3 linked regions of the Rhinolophus ferrumequinum genome follow. The protein of the gene in region 1 purifies or fractionates together with the protein of each later gene. This does not show direct contact. Links are inferred from orthologs where the notes say so. Each region holds a gene or a part of one and is shown in the gene's direction. Other genes may lie near its edges. The genes, in order: MYBBP1A, LYAR and SIRT7.

Region 1 (9,830 bases):
GGCTCGAAAGTTGGGTGGGGCAGGATTTCCAGGAATCACCAGAGCTGGGTGAACAAAGGGTGTTAGCCAGGTTGTTAGAGACCCAGATATGGCAGCCGCCTGTGGCTGCACATACGGGAGGGAGGAGGGCTCATCAAAGAAACAATGGCTTCTGCAAGCTCTTCCATCTGGGAGAAAACTGCCCCTCCAGCCATCGCCCTGAAGCCAGATAACTCAGTTCCTCCCTGTCCCTGGCGACTTTCGATTTGCTTCCCCAGCGCTGGAACTCAGAGCAACTGAGTCCATCAGGGAGTAAGTACGTGAGTGGGCCTTTTAAGAGGAGCCCCTGGGACTCTAGGAGACCTCCATCTCACTCAGCCACAATCTCCACTGGTTTTCAGAGACAGAAGTTATGAGGACTTCTTTCCCTGGCAATGGAACCCTGGGCGGGGGAGCCTGGTGTGGGGCTTGGACCCCTCATTCCTCAGTGGAAACCTCCGCAGTTGGGATATCTCTCCTGATTTTTATTTTTCTATTGTGTGCTCACCACCCAGAGTCAAAGGGTCCTTCAATAGATGATTGGATAAAGAAGATGTGGTATATATACACAATGGAATATTAATCCCTCCTGATTATTAATGGTCACATGTGGGTGTGGGACCAGCGCGTTCCATGTTTCTGTCCCTCCTACCAGTCTCAAGGTGGCTTCTTCTGTATGTCCATAGTTGTAGGGCTTCAGTTCAGCTAGACTTCAGGTGATTCTCAATGCCGGTTTTTCTGTAGTTTAGTTGTAATTTTGATGTGGTCGTGAGAGAAGGTAAGCATAGCGTTTACCTATTCCGCCGTCTTGACCAAGCCTATTCCCGACTTGACGTTTAAAAGTTGTTGAGAAGGAACCAGTAGAGAAGACGTGAAGCTACAGGAAAGAAGGGGTCAGTAAGAGAGTGAGGTCCCTGGGGAAGCAGGAGGCAAGAGGTGGAAAGGTTTGGGCCAGAACCAGAGGCAGAGAGTAGCTTTTCCATTGCATCAGATGGGGAGGAGAGAGCGATGTGGAAGGTGGGTTTGTAGGAAGGGGTGGATATTGGGGGCTCCTTCCATCAGTCTTGATGTGTCCATGTGATCTAGGAGGAAGATGGTTCACTGAGAGTGCAAGTCGGAGGGTTTGGGGTTTGAGGCAGGGAAGAGGGAGAAGGTTTGAAGTGGTCATAATAGAGTGGTCAGCAGAGAGATGACTACAGAATGGATATGACTGAAGTCCATAACTTGTCCTGCAGCACTCTTTGGGGTCCTTGATGTGAATCACAGAGTGAAGGAACTTGGAAACATGGTTTCCAGGCTGCAGGTCCCCAAGAGGCCTGTGGCGCCACCTGCTGGACAAGAGCCACATGATGTGCCTTCACCACTAGTTGCTCCCCAGACAAACCCAGATCCTTGGCAGGGCCTCAGGCTGACTCTTGACCCCAGCTAGAGACCAAACACCTCCTCACAGCAGAACCTACTCACATGCTGAGCCCTGATTCAAGCCACAATGTAACTGTAGTTCCAATTCAAGCTCTACTGTCCCTAGAGTAGAGTCCTGAACAGGCCAGGGGATCCAGGGGCTGCATCACTTAAGAAAGGGAACCAGCGGGCATCCTGGGTCTCAGGGTCTATGGCTGTGGCCCAAGGGCTGTGTCCACCGAGCTATGTCCGCTGACAGAGTGCCCGGCCATGAGCCCCTACGGCCCTGTGTCCTAATGGGGCAGACTTATGCGCAGCCTCGCTGGCCCCATGACCTGCCTAGACCTGTTCTGGATTCCACGGCACCCTTCCCTAAGGCTGCCTCCACCTCCCTGGCTTGGGCAGGGCCTCCTGAGACTCAGCTGGGAAGGCTGGCAGGCAGGCAGGCGAGCTGAGGCGGGTACCGCGGGGCCATGGAAGTCACAGCAGAGCCTGTGGTCTACCAAAAGCTGCTGCTCTGGGAGCCGAGCTTGGAGCCTGACGGGGAAGAGGAAGAGATATCAGAGCTACTCGTCCCCGACCCCTGGAAGTCCCAGGACTCCTATGGGTGAGTCAGGGAGTGGTCTGGGCACCTGGCAACTCGGGCCTACAGCTGGTAAGTCCCTCCCTCTGGGGTCCGTAAGGGGAGAGGGGGGTTGGGTCACACAACCCTGTGCTTGGCTCAGCTCCAGGAACTTTCTGGTTGAATAGGGGGAACCTGCAGCCCCAGATCTGGCCTGAGCCAGTCAACCCAAGGTCTGTGTCTGAAGGAAAATTTGTACCAAGCCAGCCCTGCCAGCTGCTCTGTCAAAGGTTCCCAGACCCCACCCCCTAGTTCAGGAGGCACCTGCTGAGCAGGTTGGGGCCTGGCCACACCTGGCCGGGCCCTGCTCCTCAAGCCTGCCAAACCCCCGTCAGGCCTGCCTCCAGCCAGGTTCAACCCTGCCTCTCCAACCTTCTCTCCAGAGATCCCTCCCTAGCTGTCCTCAGTTTCCCCAATCTTCACGTCTCTGTCTAGGTTACACCATCTACCAAGAGGCCCTTCTCCTTGGCAAACTTATATTCCTCTTGCAAGCAAGTTCAGTCTTTCCGGAAACAGTCCCTGGGTTTTCTTGGAGCTCATGGGTGTCCTCCTACCCCAGCCCTGGCTCAAGATACCCCTCTCTGCAGGAAAGGTGGTGTTCGGCCTGGGATCTGGGCCCAGCTAGTTGCCACCCTGCTGCTGCTGGTTGTTGGCTTCTCCCTGGCCACATGGCAACTCCACACCAGGGGTAGCTCTACAGAAACCTTTGGCTCTGTTGCCCCTCGACCCAGTGGGCACTCCCACCGCCCCGGCGTATACCACCACGGTGCCATCATCAGCCCTGCAGGTCAGTGATGGGAGCAGCTCGGGAGAGGGGAGGGGCCAGGGTCACTGGACCCAGGCCCCTCCCCATGACAGTCCCTTCCTTGCTGCAGCCGCGTGCTCCCACCTGGGCCAAGAGCTGCTCGTTGCTGGGGGCAATGTCGTGGATGCCGGAATTGGAGCAGCTTTGTGTCTGGCAGTGGTGCATCCTCACGCCACCGGCCTAGGTCAGTGACCCACAACCCCAGACAGCGACTCCAACCCTGGGCCTCATTGGTGACCTGGAACCCAGGCATTCAGTGGGCCTGACCTCAAGGCTGTTTAGTGAGCATGACCTAGGACGTGGCCAGTATCCCCACTCTAGGCTGTGACCCTTGATCCCAGGTCTCTGTGGTCTTGACCCCAGGTGGGTCTCCAGAGTTAGTCAGTAACTTCTGACCCCAGGCTAAGTCAGTTGCCCTTTACCTGGGGCTACAGAGTGACCCTGACCCCAGTCAGTGCCCCTGACCCATGTGTGACCCCTTTGTCTCCCCCAGGTGCCATGTTCTGGGGCCTCTTCCACAATGGCTCCTCGGGCAATTCAACTGCCCTGACATCAGGCCCAGTCCAGACACTGGCCCCCGGCCTGGGGATGCCCTCGGCTCTGCCTACCCTGCGCTTGCTGCACACACACTTCGGCCGCCTGCCCTGGCCACGCCTGCTGGTGGGCCCCACCACCCTGGCTCAAGAGGGCTTCCTGGTAGACATGCCCCTGGCCAGGGCTCTGGCAGCCCAGGGCACAAAGGGTCTCTGTCCACTACTTTGCCACACTGACGGGACCCCCCTGAGCCTTGGGGCCCGAGCCACCAACCCAAAACTGGCAGACGTGCTACGCAGGGCAGCACTTGCCCCAACCCCCGACTTTGCCAACGATGCCCTATTGAGTCCGCTGGCCAGAGACCTGGGGCTGGATGGGTCCTCAGCTGAGCCCATGCCCACCTTGGAGCCAGCACTGCAGCTACCTCTGGCCCAGGGCATCCTGTTCACCACCCCCAGCCCCTCAGCTGGCCCAGAACTGCAGGCACTGCTGGAGGCAGCCCTACAGTCTAGAGGGGCCCGCCCTGACCCCTGCCTACTACCCCAAAAAGCTACTGTGACCCCCATGAGCAGCGTCCTGGCCACCGTGGACAGCAGCGGCTCTGTGCTCCTTCTCACCTCCTCACTCAACAGCTCCTTTGGCTCTCGACACCTGTCCCCAAGCACTGGGGTTCTACTCAGCAACCTGGTAGCTAAGTCTGCAATTAGTACCTGGTCCTGCCCCCTCATCCTTCGTACCAGCCTAGATGACACAGAAGCCGACGTGTTGGGGCTGGTGGCTTCAGGGACCCCTGAAGTGGCCAGAGTCACAACTCGCGCCCTGCTCAGCCACCTGGCCGGGCTCCAAGCCCAGGCCCAGCACCAGCACCAAGCCCAGCAAGGACCAACAGAGAGCCCCAACCTGTGTGGCCAAGGGACCGTGCTCCAGGTGGCAGTCCATGCAGAGCATGCCCACGTCTCCAGTGTCCCCAATGGCTGCTGCCCCTTCCAGGGGTTCTGAGGGGCAGGAGCAGAGCAGACCCAGCAGCGATGGAGTGCATAAAAAGTGTGCACCAATCATGCGCTCACAGCTGGCTCAGGCACTCAAACTCTAGCCTGTTCAGCTACTTGAACTGGCTCTTCTCAGCTAAGGAAACTGAGGATAAGAAAAGAGTACCAGGGCCTGGGGTCAGCCCTGAGTTCAGATCCCGCTCTGGGAAGGAAAGGTAAGAGAAGGCCAAGGCCCTGCCTAGGCTCAGGACCCCGTGGGCAGGGCAAGCAGAGCCAGGGGTGCTGCTGGCCTCTCCGCCCTCTCCTTCAGGCCACCCTCTTCTGATCTCCTCCAACGAGGCTGGAAACAAAATAAAAAGCAAGTCTCCCAGACTCCATGTTCCATTCCTGCTTCTTGGTTCATTTCCCATAAGTCTTTGAGGTGCCTGGTGTCAGGGCTTCCCCAATGGGCAGCACAGGAGACCCTCACCCAGAGACAGAGCCTGGGCTGGTGTCTTTCAGCTCCCCCTGCTCTACTCACCTCCTGCCTCCTAGGGCACTACACCTCCAAGATAAACCTCTTAATCTCACTTTCTAAAGCAGACAGCAAAACCAGGAAGAGGCTGAGAGGGTGAGTAGGAGATGCCCCAGGGGCACAAAAGAGGCAAGAGCTGGGTGTATGGAATTTAAAGGCCAGGTTCAACGCTAACCTCCCCGAGGGCTAGGGTCTCTCTCACTACAACTGTCCAGGGACAGCTTCTCAAGTCCACGACGGGGGTGACCAGTACTGTGTTTCCCCGAAAATAAGGCCTAACCGGAAAAGAGCCCTAGCATGATTTTTCAGGATGACATCCCCTGAACATAAGCCCTAATGCGTCTTTTGGAGCAAAATTTAATAGGAGACCCGGTCTTGTTTTCGGGGAAACACGGTAGTACCTCACGCACACATTGTAAAAGGTATGTCTGATTTAAAAGAACTCTTGATCCCACCACCTCCACCTCTCCCCCAGCAAAGAAAATTCTTCCTGAGCTCAGTAAATGGCACCACAATCTACCCATTTATTTTAGCTCCAAATCTGGCATCCCTCTTTTTTTTCTCCCTCCACACCCATCACCTCCTACCAGCTCCAAACTAGCTGAAATTTTACTTGTTCTCCTATCACCTTAGTCCAACCCACCATTATCTCTAACTGTTCTTCCTGCGTCTACCTTTGCACTCCTACATAAATTCATACCCCACACACAGCTGCAGAATAACCTTTTAAAAATTTAAATAGAATCAAGCCCAGCCCATCCATAAAACCTTCCAATAACCCCACCGCACTCAGAAAAAAGTCCTAATTCCTGAACTCCTGGAGTCAGGAAGAGCAGAAGGACCGGGTCGCCCCAGCCCCCCGCCAGCGCCTTCCCCCTCCCGGCTCCGCCCCGCCCCGGCTCCGCCCCCAGCCGACCCAACCCAGCGCACATGCGCCGCGATCTGACCCGGAAGAGGCTGTCTTCAGAGCCCACGTGTTCCAGAAACATGGCGCAGACGGAGAATCAGGACGACGCTGAGCCTATGTCTCCTGGAGAGGCGATGAAGAGCGGCGCCCGGCCCGCCGACCGTCAGGGCCTGCTGAAGCACAGCCGCGAGTTCTTGGACTTCTTCTGGGACATTGCGAAGCCGCAACAGGAGACGCGGCTTCAGGCCACGGAGAAGCTCCTGCAGTATCTGCGCACCAGACCAGAGGTATGGTGGCAGGGCCTGGGGCAGGGGGCTGTGTCCAGGTTCGCGATCACATGCCCCCAGTCCCAATTCCTGGGCCCACATCTGAGGTGGTGGTGGACCCCAGGAATTGGGACTGGGGGCATGTGGTCGCGAACCTGGATGCCCAGATGAGCGCGGGCCAAGAGTCGGGGGTGGGCTGGTGCAGTGCGATTCTTGTCACTGGTCGACCCGGGAATGCACGTGGTTCCGCAGGGATCCGAGATGAAGTACGCCCTGAAGCGCCTGATCACTGGGCTCGGGGTTGGACGAGAAACCGCCCGGCCCTGCTACAGTCTGGCCCTGGCCCAGGTGAGGTGGTGACTCCTGGAAGGTCCCAGCCACGCGGGTCAAAACGGTGGGGAGTGAGCAGGGCAGATGTCTCAGAGCAGGGAAGGAGTCAGTGGTCTGAGGGAGAAGTGTGATGGGGGGTAGTAGCATCTGAGCTGATGGGAGGAGTTCCCACGTGGAGGAGGTGTATGAGCAAGCGAAGCCTGTCCATGGGGAAGCCCCTGCAGGTGGAGTAGGAGGTTGAGCAGTTTTCTTTTTGGATTGACATTTACTGAGGTAGTAAGCTTTGGAGTGGGTTTCCGTACCTCTGCCAGGTTCAGGGCTCTCTCCCCGGAAGGGGCACTTAGCTAATTATAGGCCACTTCTGAGGAACTTGGACAATCGGAAGGGCAGTAAAGATCAGTCGTTTAGGATCAGCCTGGGGGTGCCCAGGGCAGGCTGTGGGGATACAGTATCTGGGAATCTCAGTTGAACAATCGAGGAGCCAAAGGAGATACTTTTGCAGTCGGGGTAGGCATGGGGCAGGGAGGCAGGGAGGCTCCAGCTCCACTCAGGCAGCATGTTCTATTATTAGCGCTGCTCAGAGGGGGTGAGCAGCTTCAGAGGCATCCTTAGGGTGGGAGCAGGGGCCCGAGGCCTCCGAGCAGAAGCTGCAGGGAGAAGTGGGAGGAGGTTGCAGTCTGTTGGCATGTGGCTGTGCCATTCCCCTGTGCCCCTCTTTCCCTCCTGCCACAACTGCTGACAGCTGTTACAGTCTTTCGAAGACATCCCCTTGTGCAGCATCCTGAAACAGATAGAAGAGAAACATGACCTACAGAAAATTAAGAAGGTGAGAGTTAGTGGCCTCAGGGAGGTCAGCAGACCCGGGATGGGGAATACGTGGGCCCTTCTCACTGGAATCCTTTTCTAGGCCATGATGAGACCCGCTCTCTTTGCAAACCTGTTTGGGGTGCTAGCCCTCTTTCAGTCGGGCAGGCTGGTGAAGGTAAGAGCTTTGGGGACACGAGGATGTGGACTGGCTTGGGAATGGTGGGGACCGTGGTATGTCCTCATACCCTCTCCCCCTTTGTGGGTACCAGGACTCAGAGGCACTGATGAAGTCGGTGAAGCTGCTGCAAGCCCTGGCCCAGTACTACAACCACTTGCAGGAGCAGCCCCAGAAGGCCCTGGTGGACATCCTCTCTGAGGTACGCACTTAACCAGCTGTGGGACCTCAGGTAGCGCTACTCATAGAAACATGGAGAAGTTCTCGTGAGTTAGCGCACGGAAACACTCTAGGGCAGCACAGAAACAAGTGTGTAACTTGACATTTTCTTAGTAACCGTGTTGAACTGGTAAAAAGAAATAAATATAGTTTAGTAACATACTTAATCTCATACTTTTATATTTCAGTTATCTAAAATATAACTGAAAGCATTCTTTCAACATACAACCGGTATAAAAAGTTGTAGGAATGTTTTACACTGTTTTTTGTCACGTTAAGGCTCCCAAAGCCAGTACGTATTTTACAGTTACAGCCGATCTCCATTCGGGTGAGCACATGCTCAGTAGCCACATGTGGCCAATGGCTGCCGTATAGGACAGTGCAGCCCTAGAACAGTGCCGGGCACGTGGCAAGTATACTAACGTGTTTGCTATGTGTTTTGAGTAGAGCTGGCCCCTGAAGGGCCCCCACTGCCCTACTTGGGGAATGGAGGTAGGCTCGTACCTGGGACCCTTTACTACTGAGGAAAAGGCAGGGACAGCAACAGCTGGGCCCCAGCTTTTTGCATAGCCCTGGCTGCAGAGCCAGGAAGACCTGAATTTGAACCCCAGCTCTCCACTTGGGGACCCTTGTATAAGAAATGGGTTAGTCCTAAAAAACCCAATAGAGGAGAACTAAAATGGCGGTCCCAGGCCAGTTAGCATCAGTGGGGTGCTTGTGAACAACCCAGCTTCCTGGGACTTGGGGATTTAAGGTTTTTAACAAATATCCTTCTCATGATTCTGATGCCTGGCAGGGTAGGTTGTGGCTATCCCACCTCAGACTGGCATTGTGCCAGGGGCCTCACGGGAGCCTGGCAGGTAGAACGGGGAGAGACAAAAAATGCTGTGAGAGAGCCACCGTCCCTCAACCTGTCCCCGCCTCAGGTCCCAGAGGCTATGTGGCAGGAGATCCTACCGAAGGTCCTCAAAGTCGACTTGAATTCAGTACTTGCCTCCCCTGAGCACCTGGAGCTCTTCCTCTTGGCCCATCAGAAGGTGCCCGCGAAGCTTGAGAAGCTGATGGGATCGGTCGACCTCTTCTCAGATGAGAATATCCCCAGGTGTGAGGGAGGTGGGTGGGTGGGCTCCCTGGGGCCGAGGGGCTGCATCTGGTCATCCATAGCTTTGTGGTATGGCTTGGGGGGTGTCCCTGCTTCCCTGGGTGCCCTGGCCCTTACCTGTTCAGTGGGTGCCCCCTGAGTCCCCTCCACCCTCTTCCAAAGACTGGTGATTGTGCTGAAGATGGCCGCTGCCTCTGTGAAGAAGGAGCGCAAGCTGCCCACTGTGGCTCTGGACCTGCTTCGCCTAGCACTTGAGGAGGACAAGTTCCCACGGTTCTGGAAGGAAGTTGTGGAACAAGGGCTACTACAGAAGCAGTTCTGGCCAGCCAGGTGCGTGCGGTGCTTGTCTGCTCTCCACCCCCTTTTCTCTGTTAAGCAGGGATGGGCTGGTAGTCCTGAGAGCCACCAGGGAAACAGGGCTCTGACCAGGCTCTGTCATGCACCGCCCTAGCTACCTGTGTTTCCGACTGCTGGGTGCGGCCCTGCCTCTGCTGTCCAAGGAGCAGCTACAGCTGGTGATGCGAGGGGACCTGATCCGACATTACGGGGAACACATGGTCACTGCTAAGGTGGGTGCCGCCCCTGCAGCCCTACACTGCCAGAAAAGGCCGGGCAACCCGGCTGCCTCCTTCAGGAAGGGGGTAGGCTGCCTCAGCGATCAGCCAGCTTCTAGAAAACAGGCTTGCTCTTTGCTCCTGCAATAGTGGGTCTTCCTGCCTCAGCCCCTGCCTGGGATGGGCAAGCATAGCTGCTGTTGAGAGGGGCCTGGGACCTGGGTCTCTTGCCTCTGGGTAAAGTGAGCTACTTGAGCCCCCCACGACTGTTTCCCCGCGAATGGAGTTTTGACTAGGTCAGCCCTTCTGCCCTTGGGCCCCTCAGCAGAGACATGTCCAGCCAGTGGCATACCCAGGCCTCCATCCACCCCAGTGTTATGAGAAGGAGTGTCATCCTCATCACTGAAGTTGTTCTGAGCACTGTCTACTCCCCACACTAAGCTGAGGGCGAGTCCAGTGGCGGTTAAGAATGTGGAATGGGGGACCAGACCGCTGGGTGCCAGTCCTGGCTCCACCGCTCACTAGCTGTGTGATGCTGTGTGATCTTGTGTAGTTTGCTTCCCTTCCCTGTGCCTGCCTCTCTTTAT
Region 2 (9,743 bases), on another chromosome or scaffold:
GGGAGCTCACACTCACACACGGTTTATGGACGGGAGCGCAGGCGTACCTCGCGTTATTGCATTTCGCTTTATTGCGCTTCACAGACGCTGCGTTTTTAACAAATCACAGGCAGACCCTCCAGCAGCAAAAAAGTCACTAGTCGCTTTACTGAGATACTCGCTTTATCGTGGGGCTCTGGAACCGAACCCGCAGTATCTCTGAGGCGTGCCTGTGGGGGAGAAATGAAGTCCGATTGGGCCGAGACTACGGAGCTTAATGCGACACTTTAGTACTTTGAAAACCTAAGAAGCCCCTCTCTGCTTTGTTTGTTTTCCTTCTCAGTGCATACGCCTTACTGAGAAAAGTCACTACACCATGCAGCCACAAATCTCCTCCTTTTCACACGGCCCCTCCCCTTATAGCCACCAGTATTTTTCACCTCACCTCCTGTTACTCCCAGATGTGCCGGCCAAAATGAACGACCGCAGCCCCCAACAGGCTGTGTCCCGGCCAGTGCTGGAGCCCGAGCCCACTGTCATTAGTGACGTGACTTTGGGCAATGGCTTCTCCCTGCCCTGCGTTCCTCGCCCTGTCTCACAGGTCACTGAGATACACCCGAGAACCATGCACACATCACCACAGCGACTGGCACGTGTGAGTATTCCCTCCCAAACGTCCCCTCTGAGGAACACCTGGAGAGCCTGCTAAAAAGGACCGTCCGGACGCTGCCCCAGACGCTGCCCCAGACGTCCGCCCCGTTGAGCGTGGGGCCCAGGCATGTGCACTGTAAGCATCCAAGGGCTCTGAGCAGATGGACTGCACCCCTCTCTGCCTTGCTCTGTCCTCCAGAAGCCTCTGGTTCTGCTACTTCCGGTCCTGGGAATACTTTCTTTACTTCTGAGTCTCCCACCTTCCACAGAATGCCCACTCGGCTGTCAGCAACTCCGAGGAGCCTTCCTGCCACTCCTAACATGTTCCCTCTTCCCCACTGCTGCTCCTCAAGCCTGACTTCGGGGTTATCCTCTTTGGGATGATCTTAAGCACCCCTACACACTTCCAGAAGATAACTTGTGCTCCATCATTTGTGTGTCCAGCTCTGCTGTGAGTTCTCAGGGTACCATCTTACTCATCTTTGCCTGGCACGTGGCAGATACCGGGCCGTTAAAATTCATGCTCATTAATGATGGTTAGTAATGTTTTCTATTTATGTCTTTTTGACTCCCTCTACATTCCTCACGATAGCTCTTCTAAATCCTTCCCATTCTCTTCATTCTCACCATGTCTGTCGCCCTCATCCATAAAAGTGACCGTGACCCTGACTTCACTAAGAAGGTAGCCCGTGGATAACTTGCTATAACCTTTAGTTTCTTTTCTTAATCCCCAGTTCCCACTCACCTCTCCCTCAGCCCCGTCAGCTCCACAGGATGAAGTGTCCCTTCTCCCCTTGATTCTAGCTCCTCCCGGCTCCCCCGAGACTTTGCTTCATCACCACCCCTTTCATTGCTTTCCTCGGTCCTCCACCGGCTCACCAGTTCCTACAAACACACCAAGCTCACCTCGTGCTGAACAAAAGCAAAACAAAATAGGACAACGAAACCTTCCCAACTAGGTACATCTATGCATCACAGGCCTCTTTTCACACTTTCACAATTGTCATCTACACATCTCGCTTTACTTTCTTAAGACCCTTTCTCACCTTGCAACATTCTGCCATTCTCACTCAGATGCTGAAACAGACTTGCCCACAATTGCCTGTCCTCAGTCCCAGTCTCCCCAGCTTTCCTGCAGCAAGTGGTCATGTAGTCTGTCTGTCTCTATCTTGAAATTCCTCCTCCCCAAGAATGCTTCTGCTTCTCTTACTATGTCCCCGATCTGCTGTGCTTCTTCCTCTGCAAGCCCCCGAAATATCAATGTCGCTTAAGCTCAGCCCCTGAGCCCTCTTCTCTTTCCCTTGACAATCAAATCTGCTCTTGGCCTTCATCTGCTCTACGCAGACGAGTCCTAAATTTGGAACTTTAGTTTTGACCACGAGTTCCAAACGCCCAACATTTCACTAAACATCTTCAACTGTATGATCTTTCAACTCAGAATCTCCAAAACTTACCCCCATCATCTCACCCTCCGCTCTATACCTTTTCTGAGTCCCCTATTTCTTAATGGAAAGCTTAGTTTCTGGTGTGTAGAGTTTGGGGTGCTGGCGTGATCTCCTCGTTCGAGATCAGGGTGGGATTCCGAGAAAGCCAGGACTAGAGGAGGTGGTGTGATCTATAAAGAGCAACACTGCAGCACTGGGAGTGGATAATATTACCCCCGAACAAGAATACAGAAAGGGAAGCATTATGTGGGACGGTGGGGCACTGTCCCCAGTGCTGAATCCTCCACGGTCCTGAACAGCCAAATGGCAGCAATCAGTTACCTACCCCTGCCCCACCGGTTGCCAGAGAAGAAAAGGCTTCTTGGTTCACTATTATTAATTGTCATTTACTGACTGCTTATTACAGGCTGGGCACCGTGCTCAGCATATTATATCCATTAATTAAAATAGTGCAACGTGAATCCTACTATACCATTTTACAAGTGAGGAAATTAAGAAACAGGGAGTTTAAGTAACTTGCCCATGATTATAAAACTGTTATGTTCCAAAGCCAGAATTTAAATCCTGGTTCTTAAACCCTGGAGTCTATGCTCTTAGGCTACGCTGTCTCCCACGAGAAAAAGGATATAAAAAGCACAACACAAAACCTTCCTCCATACACTTAAATGTTAACAGGCAGCAAATACTCTGAATCTACATTAGACGTTTTCTAGCTATACAGAAGTGATAAAGGGAAAAATTCTTTGGAATGACCCTGAGAATTATGATGATATGCAAACTTCAGAAGCATTCCACAATTTACTTTGACTATAAAACTTATAATGATCCATATTGCTTAGTGTAATTCTCTAATTGCTTCATGATGTTAATCCTATACCTCCCTTATAAAAAGCTCCAGAGAAAGAATTGGTAGCTTATATTTCTTTTGTGTGACAACGGTCAGCAATAATGTATCCTGTACCCAACAAAAGTTAACAACAAATATTTATAAAATGTTTCCTATATGCCACCAGGCACTATTCCAAGCCCTTTACACCTGTTAACTTATTTAATTATCAGAATAACTGTAAGATAGGTACAACTATTCCCTCAGTTTTAGATGAAGACAGAGAAGCACCTGGCGGATTACAGATGGCCACAACTTCTTTGACACTCCTCCCAGGGAAGGTGGGATCTATGTCTCCTCCCCTTGAATCTAACATCTGTGCTCATTTCTGGGCCCAGGCCCTAAGAGCTGAAGCTCCCACCTGCCATCTTTTGGAACAATGGCTCTGGAAGGCCTGCGTCGGCAGTCAGACTGTAAAACGCCCTACTGGAGAGAATACATGGAGTAGCTTAGAAGGAATCAGCTGGGCCCAGCCTCCCACCAGCCCTTCCCGGTACCAGATATGGGAGCAAAGACACAGTGAACGCTCCAGACCAGCCCCACTACACATCTGTACCAAGAATGTGACGGCGGAAAGATGGACTGAGTGGCATAAAAAACAATGAAAATATGGGAACCGAAAATGAGAAACACACAAGAAAAGCTTAGGCAGGTGTGAACGAAGAGGAACAAGAGCCAGCATGGAATTCTATCTACCCTGTAGAGACGGCTAGTGCAGCAAAGCAAACCTTTCTGTCCAATCTACCAACTGGCCAAACACCAGAGGAAAGAATCTGTGCAAGTCTGTTCAGTGGGGCCGTTGACAGATGACTTCTCCAAGGGTCCACAGCTCATGCACCTGGCACTGAGCTTGCCTTAGAGTGATGCTACCTTCCTTTTAGCCATCATGGTTTTCAAATGGCTTGTTCCCAACCCCAATGACAAATGCACTGGCTTCAAGCAAACAAGCCTGGATTCCTGTCTTAGCTCTATACTGACTCTGATGCTACACGGGCCAATTCACGGAAGCAGTATTGTGGGCCTACTATGTGCAAGCGTTGTCGTGAGGATGGAATGCTGATAAACTGAATGAGATATGCTCCCTGCCTTCCACAGTCTGTCTCAATTTGGGCCTCATTCGCTTAACTTTAGTGTCCACTAGATGCCAGGCACGGAGGGTCACGACGGTGAATGACTCAGATACGGTCATCCATGCCTTCGTGAAGTGAGAGAAACAAGAGTAGCAACGCACTGCAGATATTAAATAGAGGAAGCACAAATTAATTTGGGGGAGGAGGGTTAGGGAAAAACTTCCTTGAGGAAGAGACATCTGTGTTGAAATCTGGAAGTTAAGTTTGCCAGAGAAAGCAGGGAGCTCACCCTGAGTTTTCAGGGGAAGCAAATAGGGGGAAAAAAAAGAAAATGCAGGAGAGCGCCACTAAGAATGAGGCACCCCTACATGCCCTGCACATAAAAATGCCTTGAGCACCCTGCTTTTCAACCTCTTGGCCACTCTGTCACCTTTGTCAGCAACTACTTCCCTTCTTGTCCATTCTGGTGAATTCCTTGTTAAGGGCTGAGTTGCATCCCCCCCAGATTCATATGCGGAATCCCTAACCCCCTCGGTACCTCAGAATGCAACTGTGTTTGGAGATCAGGCCCTGAAAGAGGTTTTAAAATCCAATCCAATGAAGTTAAAACTCTAATGCAATCTGACTGACGTCTTGTAAAAAAAAAAGGAGCCCCAGGGATGCTCATGCAGAGGAAAGACCACGTGAGGACCCCCAAGAAGGTGGCCCTGACAAGAGAAACCAAACCCGCGACACCACTTCCAGAGCTGTGAGAAAAATAAACGTTGTTGAAGCCACTCGGTCGGCGGTATTTCGTCATGGCGGCCCTCGCCAACTGCTACACCTTCTATTCCAGGCCCAACACTGTTGGTCCCAGAGTGAAACCGCCCTTATCAGCCCCACCCCCACCCCAGGGTTACCGTTTCTCACAGTACTCGGTCCATACTCCAGTCACCCAATGAAGCCGTGAACACCTAGTGACCACCCCTGTCTGCCAGACCGGAGAAGAACGGCGAAGCGATGTAGTGCTTTACATTCATCCACTCGAGAAATCCTGCGAGACCCCGACGCAACAGGCACTGCCATTGCACGCCTTGTGCAAACGGGAGCCGAGGCACGCCGAGTCCACCCGGGAATGCCGCTGGGCCGGGTCTGCGGTCGTGGGCACTGCTCTCAACCACAGGGAGGCAGAGGGAGATGGGAACCGAGCGCGGGGAGCCCCGGACGGGGAGGGATCGGGGGCTACACGCGGGCAGTGCCCGAGCGGGCGGGAGGCCGGGCGGGGACGCGGGTGGGCTTCCCAGGCCGAGGAAGCTGCACACGGACACGGCCGGCTCCAGGAGCACGCCCGGATCTTTTGTGTCCCGGAGCCAGAGCACGGCGCCGGGGCTGCTTAACCCCCTCACGACCCGACCGCTCCCCCAGACCCTCGCGGTGCCCGGAGCTGCGGAGGCGACGGCGAGTCCGTGCCCCGCCCGGCTCTCGGGGCCGCGCCACCGCGCGGGACCCGCACGCCCTCGCGAGGCGGCCTCCGGACCCGGCGGCCACCTTACCCCGGGAGACCGCTCCGCGCCGGCCTCCGCCTCTTCACCTACCGCGACGCCCTCCGCGCCGCTCGCCGGGCTCCGGGGGACGCGGAACCATCGCGACAACGCCCCCTCGGCCGGCCGGACCCGCCCTCCGGCTTCCGCTGCCGTCACTTCCGCCGGGCGGTGCAGCCGCAGCGCGCAGGCGTGCGGGGCGGCTCGGAAACGAATTCTGCGCGGGGAAGCTCGGGAGCGAGGCGGCGGCGGCGCTGGGCCGGCGGCGGAGGCAGCGGCGGCGATTCCACGTGCTCCGCGCGGCCGGTTGAAACTGTTGGCGGACGGCCGCCGAGAGGTGAGGAGCAGAGGCTCAGAGGTCCGACCTGGGGGGCGGGCGGGCTTGGAGAACGGGCAGGGGAGGGGGCAGTATGGCCGATGCCTGCGTTTCCACCCTGCGAGCCCCTCCTTTGGTTCACACACGTAGAGGAGGGAGGAAATCTCTGCAGAGCTTATTGGTGCTCTGCTCTGGGGAAGTGGAAGGAGCCCTGGATTTAGGATGACCACTTATTTCCGGTTTTAAAACGGAAAGGTTCTTGTGCCGGGAACCTTCTCTGTCGTGGGCCAAGCGGGACGCTTGGTTCCCGCTGGCCTGGGGTTCAGGCTTGCTGCATGTTGGGGACAAGGCTCTTGTCTTCTCTGAGTCTTGGGGAGCTCGGGCCCTCCGGAGGAGGCCTTGGGGCGTAGTGGTTGAGAGCACGGGACTCGCTCTTAGGGCTCGAATCACTGCGTGTGAATCCAGGTTTACCACTAACTGGATGCGTGACCTGCTGCAAGTGACTTAATCTCTTCGTGCCTCACTTGTCTGTCAAAAGGGAACAGTATAGAACCTAACTCAGAGGACTCTTGTGAGGATTACATAAACACAAACGTGTTAACCATCTATGACGGCTTGGCATGTAGTAGGTGCTCAGTAAATGTCAGGATTTTCTGCAGCTCCTTCCTCTGAGGAAATAGGTAGGGGGACGAGGTGGGGTGTATTTGCAAGGCTCACTTTCCTGCAGAGAGGGTCCGCTTGGGACTTGTGCGTACAGCACCCCCAGCCCCCTGGCATCTAGCATGGAGCCTGACAAGTGGTAGACTTCCACAGATGGTTATTACACCAGTGAAGGGATGCTGTTTAAAACAAGGCTGGTGAGGCAATGTGTGGGGAGGGGTGAGGTTTGGCTTAACCACTCCCAGTGTCAGTTTGCTCATTGGTTAAGTGGAGACAAGTGTACCTACCTCCTAGGGTTTTTGCAAAGAGCAGGGGAGAGCTCCTGCATGAAAGCACATCTGGACCCTCATCACTCGCACATTCGGGGTTTAGACAGGATGGTGGACAGTATGTGCTCGTCTGTCCAAGAAATCCCAGAGTTTCTTGGAATTCTACCCTGGGTAGGGGCTCAGGGCTGGTCTAGTGGGCCTGATCCCTTGTTTCAGAGATGGAAGAACTTGAAGTTCAGACGGGATGGTGACTAGCTTGAGGTCCAAGTGCCTATTGGTGACTGTGCTGAGGTTGCCAGCCTGGCCTGTCAGATGGGCTGTTGTGGTGGTGGTGGTGGTGGTGGTGGTGGTGGTGGTGGTGGTGGTGTTTAGGTCTGTGTGTGTATGTGTGTGAGAGAATGGTTTAAGATTAGTGAGTGTAGTTTTTGTAGAAAATAAACAATATAAAAATGTAGAGGGAGGAGGCTAAAAAATTATTCCAAATCCCGATCCCAGAACTGATCCTGAGGTCACGTTATAAGGGAACAGGGTGGTAGAGTAGCACCCATGGGGTGGGGAGCCAGAGGAGACTGGAGTGAATTTATGAAGATAGATGAATTGAGGTCATATATAAAGAAGCATGGGTTTAGGAGGTTACTGGGTGTAACAGCATTGCGTGCAAATTGATAGGTCACAGGAAATTCTAGCATTGGGTAAGGCTGAATCTTTCACATCTGGTATCTTATTTAACTTTCCGCACAATGCTCTAAGATAGATATTAGGCCCATTTTATAGATAAACAGATTCAAGTTAGGGTGCATATCTTGAGGTCATTTAGCTTTTAAATGGCAGATGCAGGCTCCAGCTCAGATCCTCTGGCCCTGAGTCCAGTCCTAGTTCAACAGCACGGGGCTACCATCTTGATAAGAGGAGACCGAGGTGCCCCAAGTTCCTCACAAGTTCCCAGCCTTTTACTGATGCTGTCTGCTGCCCCTCCACTCAGCATCACTCTCCAGTACCTGACATCCTCCGCTGTGACACGGCTGGTCTTGCTAAGTGGGGGCTGGCCTTAGAATTAAGACTTGGGGCCCTCAGACTTTAAAAGGCCAGGTCATTTGTAGAGCCTTTGTGGGATGAGGGTCTCAAGGTCCCAGATGCTGAGTAACGGCCAAGGACATGACCAGTCCAGATGGAGAGGCAGGGCAGGAGATTGGGCTTATCACGTGGCCTGTCAGGCTGCCTCAGTTTCCTCACAGAGGGAGGTGGTGTGATCATAGCTGTTCTGGAGGTGTTGGTGCAGTTGTGATGGTACAGGTGAAATCGCTGTGTGGAGAGCTAATGGTCATGTTCTAGAAGGATGTATGCATCATCATTTCCTTGGGTTACGACACGTGGCGAGAGCTCAGTAAGTTGACCAACAGATGAATAGACAGAAGCTCACACAGAGGACCTGGTCTGCTTTGGGGGAGTGCACCTGGTGTGTATGGATCCTAGTGCCTACCTGGCATGCAGTAATGTCTGCCGAGCTGAATTACAGTGACTTCCCTGGGCCGAGTACCCACAGATGCTCTCAACCGGTCCACAAACATTGCTTTCTGCTTGCCCTTCTCTTTCACATGCCCACATCTCTAGGAGGACGAGCACACAGAATCTCTGTGGCTGCATTGGGACCTGGCCTTGGGCAGAGAGAGTGGGGAACCAAGGGAGGAAAAGGGAACTCTTGTGTAGGTTCGGCCCCATAAAGAATGCCATCTTTTCACACTTGGGGCTAACTGTTGAAATGTATGACATCTGAGCCCAGTGGACGGCTTCCTAAAAGTCTTCATGCAGCATGTTTTCAGCTTTCCTAATTTCCAAAGGAGAAATGCTACAAGTTTACCCAAAACATCATTTGAACGTTTATTTAAATTTCTTCCACATTTATTTAGTCCTGTGATATTTGAGTAACTTTAATTTTTTGTTTTAGATGATGCTTGCTGTTTTCAGTAAGAGGGAGTGAGTGTTCACATGGTGTCTTTTTGTCAGTCGATGCACTGACACTTCCGAAATCGTTAAGCCTGCACCGAGGCACAGGATACCTGTGTGCCATGCAGTTAGGATGGTTTTTAGCTTGCTGTTCTTTGCAGTGTGCCGTCCCGTCCGTTACCCCCCCCCCCCCGCCCACTCCCCCACACGGAGACACACAGGTGTTTCCTGCTTGAGTGACAGTGTATCCCCGGAGGGCTAGGTGAGGTGTGAGGCCTGATCAAGGTGACCCGAATCAGGGAGAGGTAAGCTGCTCACAGGCCTTATCTATCTCATTAGCGGGCAGGCGGCCACATTGTCCCCATTTCCTATCAAGAGTGAAAATGCAGGGAAGACTAAACGTCCTGAAGAAGGCACTAAGAGATAAAGCTACTCATTCTGCCTGTAAAAGCAAAGAAAGAAACAAATTTCTAAATGTGAACATTTGCCGTAAAAGACTGAATGAAAATGGTTGGAGAGGTGTCCAAATTCTCCTCCTCTCCTGAACTGACGTTTACTCTGTGTGGCTGATCCCCAGAAGGACGCATGGTGACACAGATAGTCCCAGCCTCTTTTTGTCAACGTCACTAGCTGCTTTCAGTTGATACGTTTTGTTGCCACTGGTCTTTCCCAGGCCTTTAATTGCTGACCTGTGACAGACCTGGTCTCCTAGTTGGATGTCACAGCTTTCCGAAACCGTCTCCTCTCCCCCCTAATCAATCAAGAAACAGAATAGACCTCGACCAGGAAGGTCAGAAAGCTCTAGCTTAACTCGGAGAGGCTATTTTTCATTGTTGACTCTCACGATGAACAGACTTAGACATTTTTCAGCAGATAATTTGGCTTCTCGAGCTGCTTCTATCTTGTGTGAATGATGGCCATCTATTTCTTGGTGACTAGTTAATGGTTTGCTCTTCTTACACCAAAGTGCCCCTACAGACTATTTATTGATAATGTGGTGTTG
Region 3 (8,981 bases), about 41 Mb from region 1:
GGCTGTGTTGGCTGGCGGCCTGGGGAGTGCCAGGCCAGTGAGGGAGCGGGAGCAATGTGCTGAGTCAGCATGACTCGCCAGGAACAGCCGCTCTGGGGCTCGGGTGCGCACCGGCGTTATTTTTAAAGCTCCAGGCTTCCTCCTAGGCTGGCCCCTCCAGCATTCTTCTAATCTCTCCCCCAGTCCCTTCTCTTGCCTCTGCCTAACAGCCCTTCAGTTCCCCTTGCCCCCTCAGACCCTCCTGGCCCCCCCATCTGGTTCCCTAGGGTGGGGTAGACCGGGAGCAGCCCATCACAGGAGAGGCAAGGGCGAAGGGCGGTCCGAGGCCAGGTATCAGGAATGGGCAGGTGAGGGGCGTGACTCGGTGCAGAGGGAAAGGGGGGTGTTCTCCGGGGTTCTGACCTCTGCTCCCTGTCTCGCAGAGTGCCTGCTTGCTGTGCCCCCGGGTTATGACGACCCCCAATAAAGGAAACAAGGCCTTGAAGGTGAGCAGACAGGGCGGGCCGTGTCTCGGGGCTGCGGTGGTACAGGGATGGGCGTCACATCAGCCCGTGACCTCGTGCGCTGTGCCGCCCCCAGGTGAAGCGGGAGCCGGGCGAGAATGGCACCAGCCTGACCGATGAGGAGCTGGTGACCATGTCGGTGCGGGAGCTGAACCAGCACCTGCGGGGCCTGTCCAAGGAAGAGATCATCCAGCTGAAGCAGCGTCGGCGCACGCTCAAGAACCGCGGCTACGCCGCCAGCTGCCGCGTGAAGCGCGTGACGCAGAAGGAGGAGCTGGAGAAGCAGAAGGCGGAGCTGCAGCAGGAGGTGGAGAAGCTGGCGTCGGAAAACGCCAGCATGAAGCTGGAGTTGGACGCGCTGCGCTCCAAGTATGAGGCCCTGCAGAACTTCGCCAGGACCGTGGCCCGCAGCCCCGTGGCGCCAGCTCGGGGCCCCCTTGCTGCCGGCCTGGGGCCCCTCGTCCCCGGCAAGGTGGCCGCCACCAGCGTCATCACAATAGTAAAGTCCAAGACGGACGCCCGGTCGTAGGGACATGCGCTTGCCCAGGCGGGTCTTCGAGGGGCCACTAGGCGCATGGCGAATTTGGCAGCCCTGTCCCCCCTTTCTCCTCTCCTTCCCTCTTCCTCTCCTACCTCCTCCCTTCCCTGCAAAGCACAACCTGCACCCCAGGGGCACCGGGCTGAGCCCCTTGATCTCGTCGTTGTCATCATGTGTTTTGTATGTTGGGATTGGTCAGTTCGGTGGTGACGTGGGGCCGCCCCAGCCCTTTGTACTAAGGCCATGTGGGCTTGGAGTCCAGAGTGGTCCTGTGCGAATGGGCAGAAAGATCGAGCAAACACTAGGGGCTCAAGGGTCCCTGAGCAGGGAGCGTGCTAGGCTGAGTGTCCCATAGGCTCTGGCGGCCGCCTGCACTGGCAGGGGCCTGGGTAGTTCACAGCTCAGCCAGAGGTATAGATGGGCTCTGCTCCGAGGAGGGTGTCCTTGGGGACCCTGGACAGGCAGGCCACCAGCCTAGGTGCTTGGGGGATGGGGCGTCGTGCGGCTATGGGCCCGGGCCTCGGCACTCTCGCCTGACGCATTGCACTGAACAAGACCAAACCACTGGTTGTGAGCGTACGTGAAGGGTGTGTCCAGTGTCCTGCGATGGGTCCCGTGTCACTGTTTACATGACCTATTTGTGTGGTTACATAGCCCTTTATTTAAAAGAGAGAAGTTCCTTTTACGAAGTTATTAAATTATATGTTTAAAAGCTAAAGAAAAAAAAAGAGCTGCAGAGTATTTATAAAACTGTCTTTTTAAAAAAAAAAAACAAAAAACAAGCAAGAACATTTGACCATATAAATGGAAAAGGGAAGAAAGTATAATAGAAACTGCTAGTTTAAAAAAAGAAAAAAAAATCCCTTTCTTGTAAACTTACAGACAAGTCTTTGTGGCTGTTGGAGTTTAGTTTTTATATACACAGAGTTATCAGATGTTATTTATAAAACTTAGTTTAAAAAAAAGACAAAAAAAAAAAGCCAAGCCGCGAGCGACCAGAAGGCACGTCCTGACGTCCTCTTTGCTCTCTCTTTTGCAATTGTACCGAAAGTGACTTACTCCTTTGCCCTTCCTGCTTCCGTCTCCTGTCTCCTGCCGGTGCAGTGGTGTCGTCTGTGCCTGGTGAGGTGTTGTGCAGCGTCACGTGCTGGTGCTTCTGGTGACCTTTGACCTGTGGGTGTCACTTCTTGTGTCTATTTTCCTGTGTTTGTTTTGGATTTGGTTGTGTTTTGCTTCTGCTGGCTTGCCAGGCTCAGGCTGGGGTGCCAGGCGGTACGTGCTGCAGCAGAGCTGGGGGGGTTGGTGCCCACCAGCCTGGCCTCTTCTGCCTCAGCGTCTGCCCCAGACCTCCAGGAGGTCAGATTCCGGGCTCTGCCACTCCTACCCCCACTCCCCTCTGACCCTTGGCTTCGCATGCGTGTCTCAGGCTTGGGCTGATCCATTGGCAGGGTAGGTGAAACTGGGGGCCATCCCGGGGGCTCCCCATGCTGCTACCATGCCCACCGCCTCTGGCCCTGGGTGGGGGATTTGCAGGGACCAAGGAGTCACTGTGGGTGCCCACGGGGCCACGGCCAAGCTGCCCCTGCCGTCTTCCTTCTGGTGTCCAGTCACCGTGCTTGGGCTCTGGCCACTGACCCCAGCTTTGTTCTTCTAGGCTTCACATGGGCCTCAGCAGGGGAACCCCAGGGGCCCACATAGGGGTTGCAAGACCTGCTGCCCAGTTGTCCCAGGACTGTTTCCATGCTGCGGGTGGTGCTTCCCAGGCAAAACCAGGTGGTTTCGGGGCCCACCTGGGGCGGTCCTTTCTGCCTGCCTGAGGGCCTGGGGGTCTCCACCAGTGCCAGACAAGGGCTAGTGTCCAGGGCCGGTCCTGCCCCTCCTCGCCCCTGAATGTGCTGGCAGCTCTCGGCTTTGGGCCTTCTTCCGCCTCCCTTTGGGTCTGTGTCTTCCAGGGATCCACTGCCCAGCTTATGGAGGTGCTTCTCTTGGACTGAGCCCACACTCACCCCCATCCCGGCCACTCGGCAGAGGCAGCCAGTCTCCCAGACTCGGGTGGGAAGCTCATAGGCACGTGACGGGCTGCCTGTGGCGTCTCCCCAGGAGGCTAGTGCCCCGTCTCCAGCCACATGGGCCTCATTTGGCCTCTCCTTGGGTTGGCTTCTCTGGGGGCCCTGACCCCCTGAAAAGCACAGAAGTGCATCAGTGCTGCCTGGTAGGGTTTAAATTAACCTTGTGGGCAGCAGGATTTTCATCCCAGAATTTGACCCAGTGTGCCCATGGGATGGGAGTAGGATGTGCTGTCAACTTCTGCCATCTCGATGGGCTTCTGTGGACCCTAAATGCTCAGAGACGTTCCTAGTTGTACTGGAGTCAGCCTGCAATGGAGATGTTGACTGTTGACTCCAGATCACAGAGTGGCTTCCTCCCCTTCCAGTCTGTCTGTTTCGCAGGCTCCAGACGAGAGTTGTCAATGGTTGTAGCAGCAGTGAGTTGGAATTGCATCATAACAGCCCCTAAAGGGAGGTCACGTTCTGCCCTGGTGGTGGGAGGAACAGACCCTCCATGTCCATCTACGGTCCCCACTTTTGTCCTGGCCGGGAGGTCGTTGTCCACTTCGGCACACCCCTGCCAGGCTGTAGACCTGGAGGGTTTGAGGGCAGGCATGTGTTAACACATATTGCAAGGCCTTGGTTTCTGGAAGTTTCTGGAGTTAGTGAGGCCGTGGTTTCTTTCAGGGTTTTTGGATTTGGAACAACTGCTCCTTGGGTCTGGGGGAGCATCCAGTTCCCATCAAGCCAGGCCTGCAGGGCCACTCCACCCCTTTCCCTCCCCTTGGTTTCTTGACAGTAGACTGTGTCCACATGTGACTGGTTGGTGTCTTTCTGATTCTTGTTAATTTGGTTTTCCTACTGTGAGGGTGTTGTGTCCCCTCTCTCCCCTCCACTTTTCTGACACAGCAAATCGAGGGCTTCGGCCAAAGCCAGGTCTCCCAAACTTGTCCGCTCAGTAAACCACAACGTGCACCTTTGCTCCCACCGTGCCCTCGCCCAACTCCTCCCTGTCCCAACATGGACATTTAGATTTCAGAGAAGCCTGTGGGAAGAGGTCAGCTCCTTCCCAGAGTACGGCCCCAGGGAAAACTCCCCACAGCCCTTGGCTGCTGCTCCGGTGGCACTACCCTTTGTACAGGTGAGAACATGCGGCTGCTGTATGGCAGCTGGCAAGTGTGCTGGTTTCTGACGGGCTTTCCTCCTGTTGGTCCAGGCTTCCGGTCTGTGTGCACAACCCGGACCGTCAGCAACAGCCTCAGTGGTCAGTGCCCGGCCCACAGCTCTGATCTATAGCCTGCTTTGGGACGGGTGGTCAGGCCCCATCCGGTCCCCGCTGCCTCCATCTCTGGAGTGGCCACTTGGCCAAAGCTCCTGTCCACAGCTGGAAAGCCGGAGCCACAGGCTGCAGTGCTGTTTCCGCTCTGGGATCTTGTAAGTTACTTTTTTAGGCTGTGGTTTGGTGAAAGGAACCAACACATTAACGATTTTTTTCCCCAGAAGCCACTGAATAATTCTTTTTGGCGCGTTTTTGCCTTCCTGTTGGCTGTCTGGTTTTGGAGCAGATGGGGACAGAGAGCGGAGGACACACAGAGGCAGGGGTGTGCCCTCGAGACTGATGGCCTGTCCTGGGCGTGTGCTGTACCTGTTGGGCCAGTCGCATACATTTCCACCCCAGCCTTGGTATGTGGGTGTCCCCAGTGAACTATGAGGAGCGACCCTTCCAGCAACCTCGTGTCCCAGCACCTCCCTTCTTCCCATCCCCTCAATCTGCTAGTCCCGGAAGCCTTTAACCAAACGGGAGTGGGTACAGAAAGCCTTCTCCTGGCATCTTAGGGCAACAGGACAAGGGCTGCCAGTGTGTCCAGCTCTGCTGCTCTCCTGGCGCTGAGAGGGTGGGTCCAGGCAGAGTTGATCAGACCCTGCCTGTCCTGCCTAGGGCTGAAGTCAGGGGGAGGTGGGGGTATCCTGGGATCTGCCCGGGCGGCGGGGATCGTCGAAGCTCCAGGTGGGGAGGGGCCTCGTGAGGGCGGCCCGCTTAGGCGCCCACCCTGCCCTGTGCAGTATTTATTGCTAAATTATTGTCCAGGAGGGGCGGCACTGGGCCGGGCCCCGGGTATTTATTGCTGTACATAGTGTATGTTTGTGATATATAAGGTTTTCTTTATTTTGTATATGATCAATAAACACCTTTTAAAGAGACTTGGCAGGTGCTTAAATTGGGGCGGTGCGGGCGGGGCCGGAAGGGCGGGGCAGGGCCTAGCGCGCATGTGCCGGCGCGCGGCCTGCCGGGAGGCGGAAGCGGAAGCGTGGATCTCCTCGGGGCGATGGCAGCCGGGGGTCTGAGCCGCTCGGAGCGCAAGGCGGCCGAGCGGGTCCGGAGGCTGCGGGAGGAGCAGCAGCGGGAGCGCCTCCGCCAGGTATGTCACCTCTTGCCCCGCCCCGCATCCCCGCCTCGCGTCGCCCTCACCACCTGCCCCGCGCCCGCAGGTGTCGCGCATCCTGAGGAAGGCGGCGGCCGAGCGCAGCGCAGAGGAGGGCCGGCTCCTGGCCGAGAGCGCGGACCTGGTGACCGAGTTGCAGGGCCGGAGCAGGCGGCGCGAGGGCCTGAAGCGGCGGCAGGAGGAGGCGAGTCCCGCGCGGCGCCCGGGTCTGCGGGCCTCTCGCCGGGTCGGGGGCGGGGCTTACGAGCGGTCTGGGTGTCTCGGCAGGTGTGCGACGACCCGGAGGAGCTGCGGCGGAAAGTCCGGGAGCTGGCCGGAGCCGTGCGGAACGCCAAATACCTGGTCGTCTACACTGGCGCGGGCATCAGCACGGTAGGGAGGCGAGGCGTGACCATGGCCGTGCGCCCGGGTCGACTCCCAGGTCCGGACGAATGTCGGACCACCGGGCGGGGGGCTGGAGGGGACGCGCCCGGGGCGCCCCCTTCTGGGCGTGTGACCCAAGGACTGAGGAAAACTACTGGTTCGCAAAAAAACTCACTTTAAAAGCAGCCCTGAGGTTCTTTCCTCTCTTAGAAAAGCCGGAGATGACTCAATTTGGAACGTCACTGAGTAGAGAAACGTTTTTACAGGATTGAAGTCCGAGTTAGACCCAGTTAGCGACGAGAAAGGAAAAGGAATAGAAAGGGGACGTAATAACTTAGTTCTTGCAGGCACCTCTTCGTTTAAGCCAAGGAGGTTAATTTACTGTCCCAAAGTTATGTGGGCAGAGGTAAGCCCCAAACTGTGTCCTGATTCCCCGTTCATTGTTTTTCTGAGTGTTGAAGGAAGGTAAAGCAGAAAGCAAGGCCGTAAAAATTAAAGTACACCCGGCAAAGAAGGGAGGTGTGTTGGGTTTTGAAAACTTCCATGGAGATGTTCTCCTGGGCCATGGAATGGGTATGAGCTGCTTTGACAACGTGGGTGGCACGTTATCTGTCTGTCTGATGGGGTGGATTGAGTGTGAGCCGCGTGCAGGCCCAGCAGAGGTGAACACAGGATTTCCATCCTGGAGAAGCCCACAGGTGACATGAAAAGGCATATAAGCATGTAGCTGTCACGTGAAGCTGGCTGTGTTAGGTCAACAATTGAAATCCACACACACCCCGTGGTCTCAGCTGGGAAATTATCCCAGCTGGGTTTTTGTAGGAGGTGACACTGCGTCTGGGCCTCGAAGTGTGGGTAAGATTTTACGGGTGGTGACATGAGGCAGGGATGAGTGCAGGGCAGTGGCTAGAATGTGTCGGGTGGGCTGACGGTTGTGACTTACGGACCCTCCGGAGCCCTGGCAATCTGGTCTCCTCCCTCCACATTCACGGGTGAACTCCCGTCGTGTGATTATTTAAAAGCAATAATAATACCTCTGAAAGAGCTTCAGGTGCCTACTTAAAGGTGTGTGCTGCTCATTAATTTGGGGTGAGTGTTGCTGTTTGAGTTTCCCCTGTGTGATGTGAGTCGGAACCACGGGTCAGGGTGGGCACTTTTTGGAGCGTAAGCAGCAGGGAGGAGACAGGGCTCCACAGAAGGAGCACAGAACACCTGGATCCTGGCACACTCTCTCTCTTTGTCTTGCGTGGCTTTGTTCCACTGGATTGGGAACTTGGGCAATTCAGTGGTGTTTATCTCTCACCTGGAGAGGTTGGCCTGTCTTTGTGAAGGTAGGGCAGGAAGCACAGCATCAAGGTGGAAGAATTTGGACAGAGGAGGGATCCCACCTAGGGGATCACCTCTGCATCTTTCTGGTGTACTGGCTAGGCCCAGGGGACACACAGGTGAGGCTGACCAGTCCCACCCTCAGTGTGGAGGACAGGTGTGGCTGCAGAGCCAGGCTGTACTGAGGATGGCTCCCAGAGGAAGCGTAGCTGGAAGGATGAGCTGGACCAGGTGAGAGCGGGAGTCCAGGCAGAGGGAAAGAGCCACATGGGCTACTCTCCATCTGGGTTCAGGCATGTTAGACTAGGAAATGCTGAGCCTGTGGAATGAATAGAGGCCGGTCTGCAGGTCAGCCTGCAACACGCTGGGAGAAACATATGCTTTCTGTCCTTGGGAATTCTGTCAGTGGCTTCTGTGATGCCTTTTTACCAGGCTTATCTTCTTTCTGAACATGCAGGCAGCCTCTATCCCAGATTACCGGGGTCCTAATGGAGTGTGGACGCTGCTTCAGAAAGGGAGAAGTGTTAGGTAAGCAGTCTGCCCAGCCTTGCCACCGAGGGAGCAGGGCAGCAGGAGCCTGACCACGAAGCTCCCTTCACCTGTACCCCCTTTCACCTGGCAGTGCTGCCGACCTGAGTGAGGCCGAGCCGACCCTCACCCACATGAGCATCGCCCGCTTACATGAGCAGAAGCTGGTAAGAGCCCTGTGTGGCCAGCTGCTGTGCTTGCCGTGTCCACAGCGTGGGACCTGGAGCACCATTTTGGTGCTATAGTGACAACTGCATCCTACTTCTATGGCCAGTGGACCCCCGTAATGCGTGCCCACCAAGCAGTTTAGAGTCCTGGTTTGGGCCTCCCTCTGATCCTCCATGCTTTCTCTTCAAGAGGGCAGCTTCCCCTCTGAGTCATCCCAGCTAGAACTCATAGGAAGTCTCTGGAGACCTTCTGCTGAGCATCTCCAACCAAGTGGGGAAGGGTCGATCCTCCTGGGTCTTCAGGGACCTGAAACTGACCCAAGAGGGCATCAGCCTGGGCTTGAGCCCCGTGCAGCCGAGGCTCACCCTGCTGACACTCCCAGTGTGTCAGCCTTTGTTGGGGCCGGCCGTGCTGAGCCCTGCTCGGACCAGCCTGCTGCCCTGGTCTTGCCTTCGAGGCTTCATGTGAGGTTGGACTTGTCTCTGGTTTGGGGGTGCTGGGCTGGACTCAGGACAGGCCAGTGGCGCTGCTGGGTGGGTGCTGCTTCCCACGGCCCTCCCGCCAACTCCCGCTCGCCTCCCGCAGGTGCAGCACGTGGTGTCTCAGAATTGCGATGGGCTCCACCTGCGGAGTGGGCTGCCGCGCTCGGCCATCTCGGAGCTCCACGGAAACATGTACATTGAAGTGAGCGCTCCCTCCGGGCCTTGGGGGTGCGGCGGGCCAGTGCCTCCTGCTCACAGTGCCCTCCCCCTCAGGTCTGCACGGCCTGCACCCCCAACAGGGAGTACGTGCGGGTATTCGACGTGACGGAGCGCACCGCCTTGCACCGACACCAGACTGGCCGGGTGTGCCACAAGTGTGGGGCCCAGCTCCGGGACACCATCGTGCACTTTGGGGAGCGGGGGACCCTGGGGCAGCCCCTGAACTGGGAGGCAGCCACCCAGGCTGCTAGCAAAGCGGATACGATCCTGTGTTTAGGCTCCAGCTTAAAGGTACACAGCCGGCACTGTGGCTGGGCTGGGAGTACCCTGCCAGCAGCTTCCTACAGCCTCGTTCCCCGGTC

What was found.
Region 2: the proteins of MYBBP1A (region 1) and LYAR purify together in Homo sapiens (affinity purification with mass spectrometry; 3 studies listed by BioGRID and IntAct, with this or other methods). This does not show direct contact. The link is inferred for Rhinolophus ferrumequinum from reciprocal best matches to the Homo sapiens genes MYBBP1A and LYAR.
Region 3: the proteins of MYBBP1A (region 1) and SIRT7 purify together in Homo sapiens (affinity purification with western blotting; 3 studies listed by BioGRID, with this or other methods). This does not show direct contact. The link is inferred for Rhinolophus ferrumequinum from reciprocal best matches to the Homo sapiens genes MYBBP1A and SIRT7.

Annotation. Positions count from the first base shown.
Region 1 is NC_046304.1:14,119,561-14,129,390, forward strand, and holds the start of MYBBP1A (myb-binding protein 1A), read left to right. Parts: upstream 1-5,798; 5' UTR 5,799-5,813; coding exon 5,814-6,077; intron 6,078-6,308; coding exon 6,309-6,404; intron 6,405-7,128; coding exon 7,129-7,212; intron 7,213-7,293; coding exon 7,294-7,368; intron 7,369-7,462; coding exon 7,463-7,570; intron 7,571-8,513; coding exon 8,514-8,689; intron 8,690-8,851; coding exon 8,852-9,019; intron 9,020-9,140; coding exon 9,141-9,258; intron 9,259-9,830. Other genes in the region: GGT6 (glutathione hydrolase 6), read left to right, coding at 1,893-2,026, 2,629-2,828, 2,917-3,030, 3,340-4,379. UniProt on the Homo sapiens protein: May activate or repress transcription via interactions with sequence specific DNA-binding proteins. Repression may be mediated at least in part by histone deacetylase activity (HDAC activity).
Region 2 is NC_046288.1:82,854,676-82,864,418, reverse strand, and holds the start of LYAR (cell growth-regulating nucleolar protein), read left to right. Parts: upstream 1-5,724; 5' UTR 5,725-5,888; intron 5,889-9,743. UniProt on the Homo sapiens protein: Plays a role in the maintenance of the appropriate processing of 47S/45S pre-rRNA to 32S/30S pre-rRNAs and their subsequent processing to produce 18S and 28S rRNAs. Also acts at the level of transcription regulation.
Region 3 is NC_046304.1:54,692,339-54,701,319, reverse strand, and holds the start of SIRT7 (NAD-dependent protein deacetylase sirtuin-7), read left to right. Parts: upstream 1-5,349; 5' UTR 5,350-5,416; coding exon 5,417-5,509; intron 5,510-5,579; coding exon 5,580-5,717; intron 5,718-5,800; coding exon 5,801-5,905; intron 5,906-7,679; coding exon 7,680-7,750; intron 7,751-7,844; coding exon 7,845-7,917; intron 7,918-8,503; coding exon 8,504-8,602; intron 8,603-8,673; coding exon 8,674-8,910; intron 8,911-8,981. Other genes in the region: transcription factor MafG, read left to right, coding at 450-485, 580-1,032. UniProt on the Homo sapiens protein: NAD-dependent protein-lysine deacylase that can act both as a deacetylase or deacylase (desuccinylase, depropionylase, deglutarylase and dedecanoylase), depending on the context. Specifically mediates deacetylation of histone H3 at 'Lys-18' (H3K18Ac).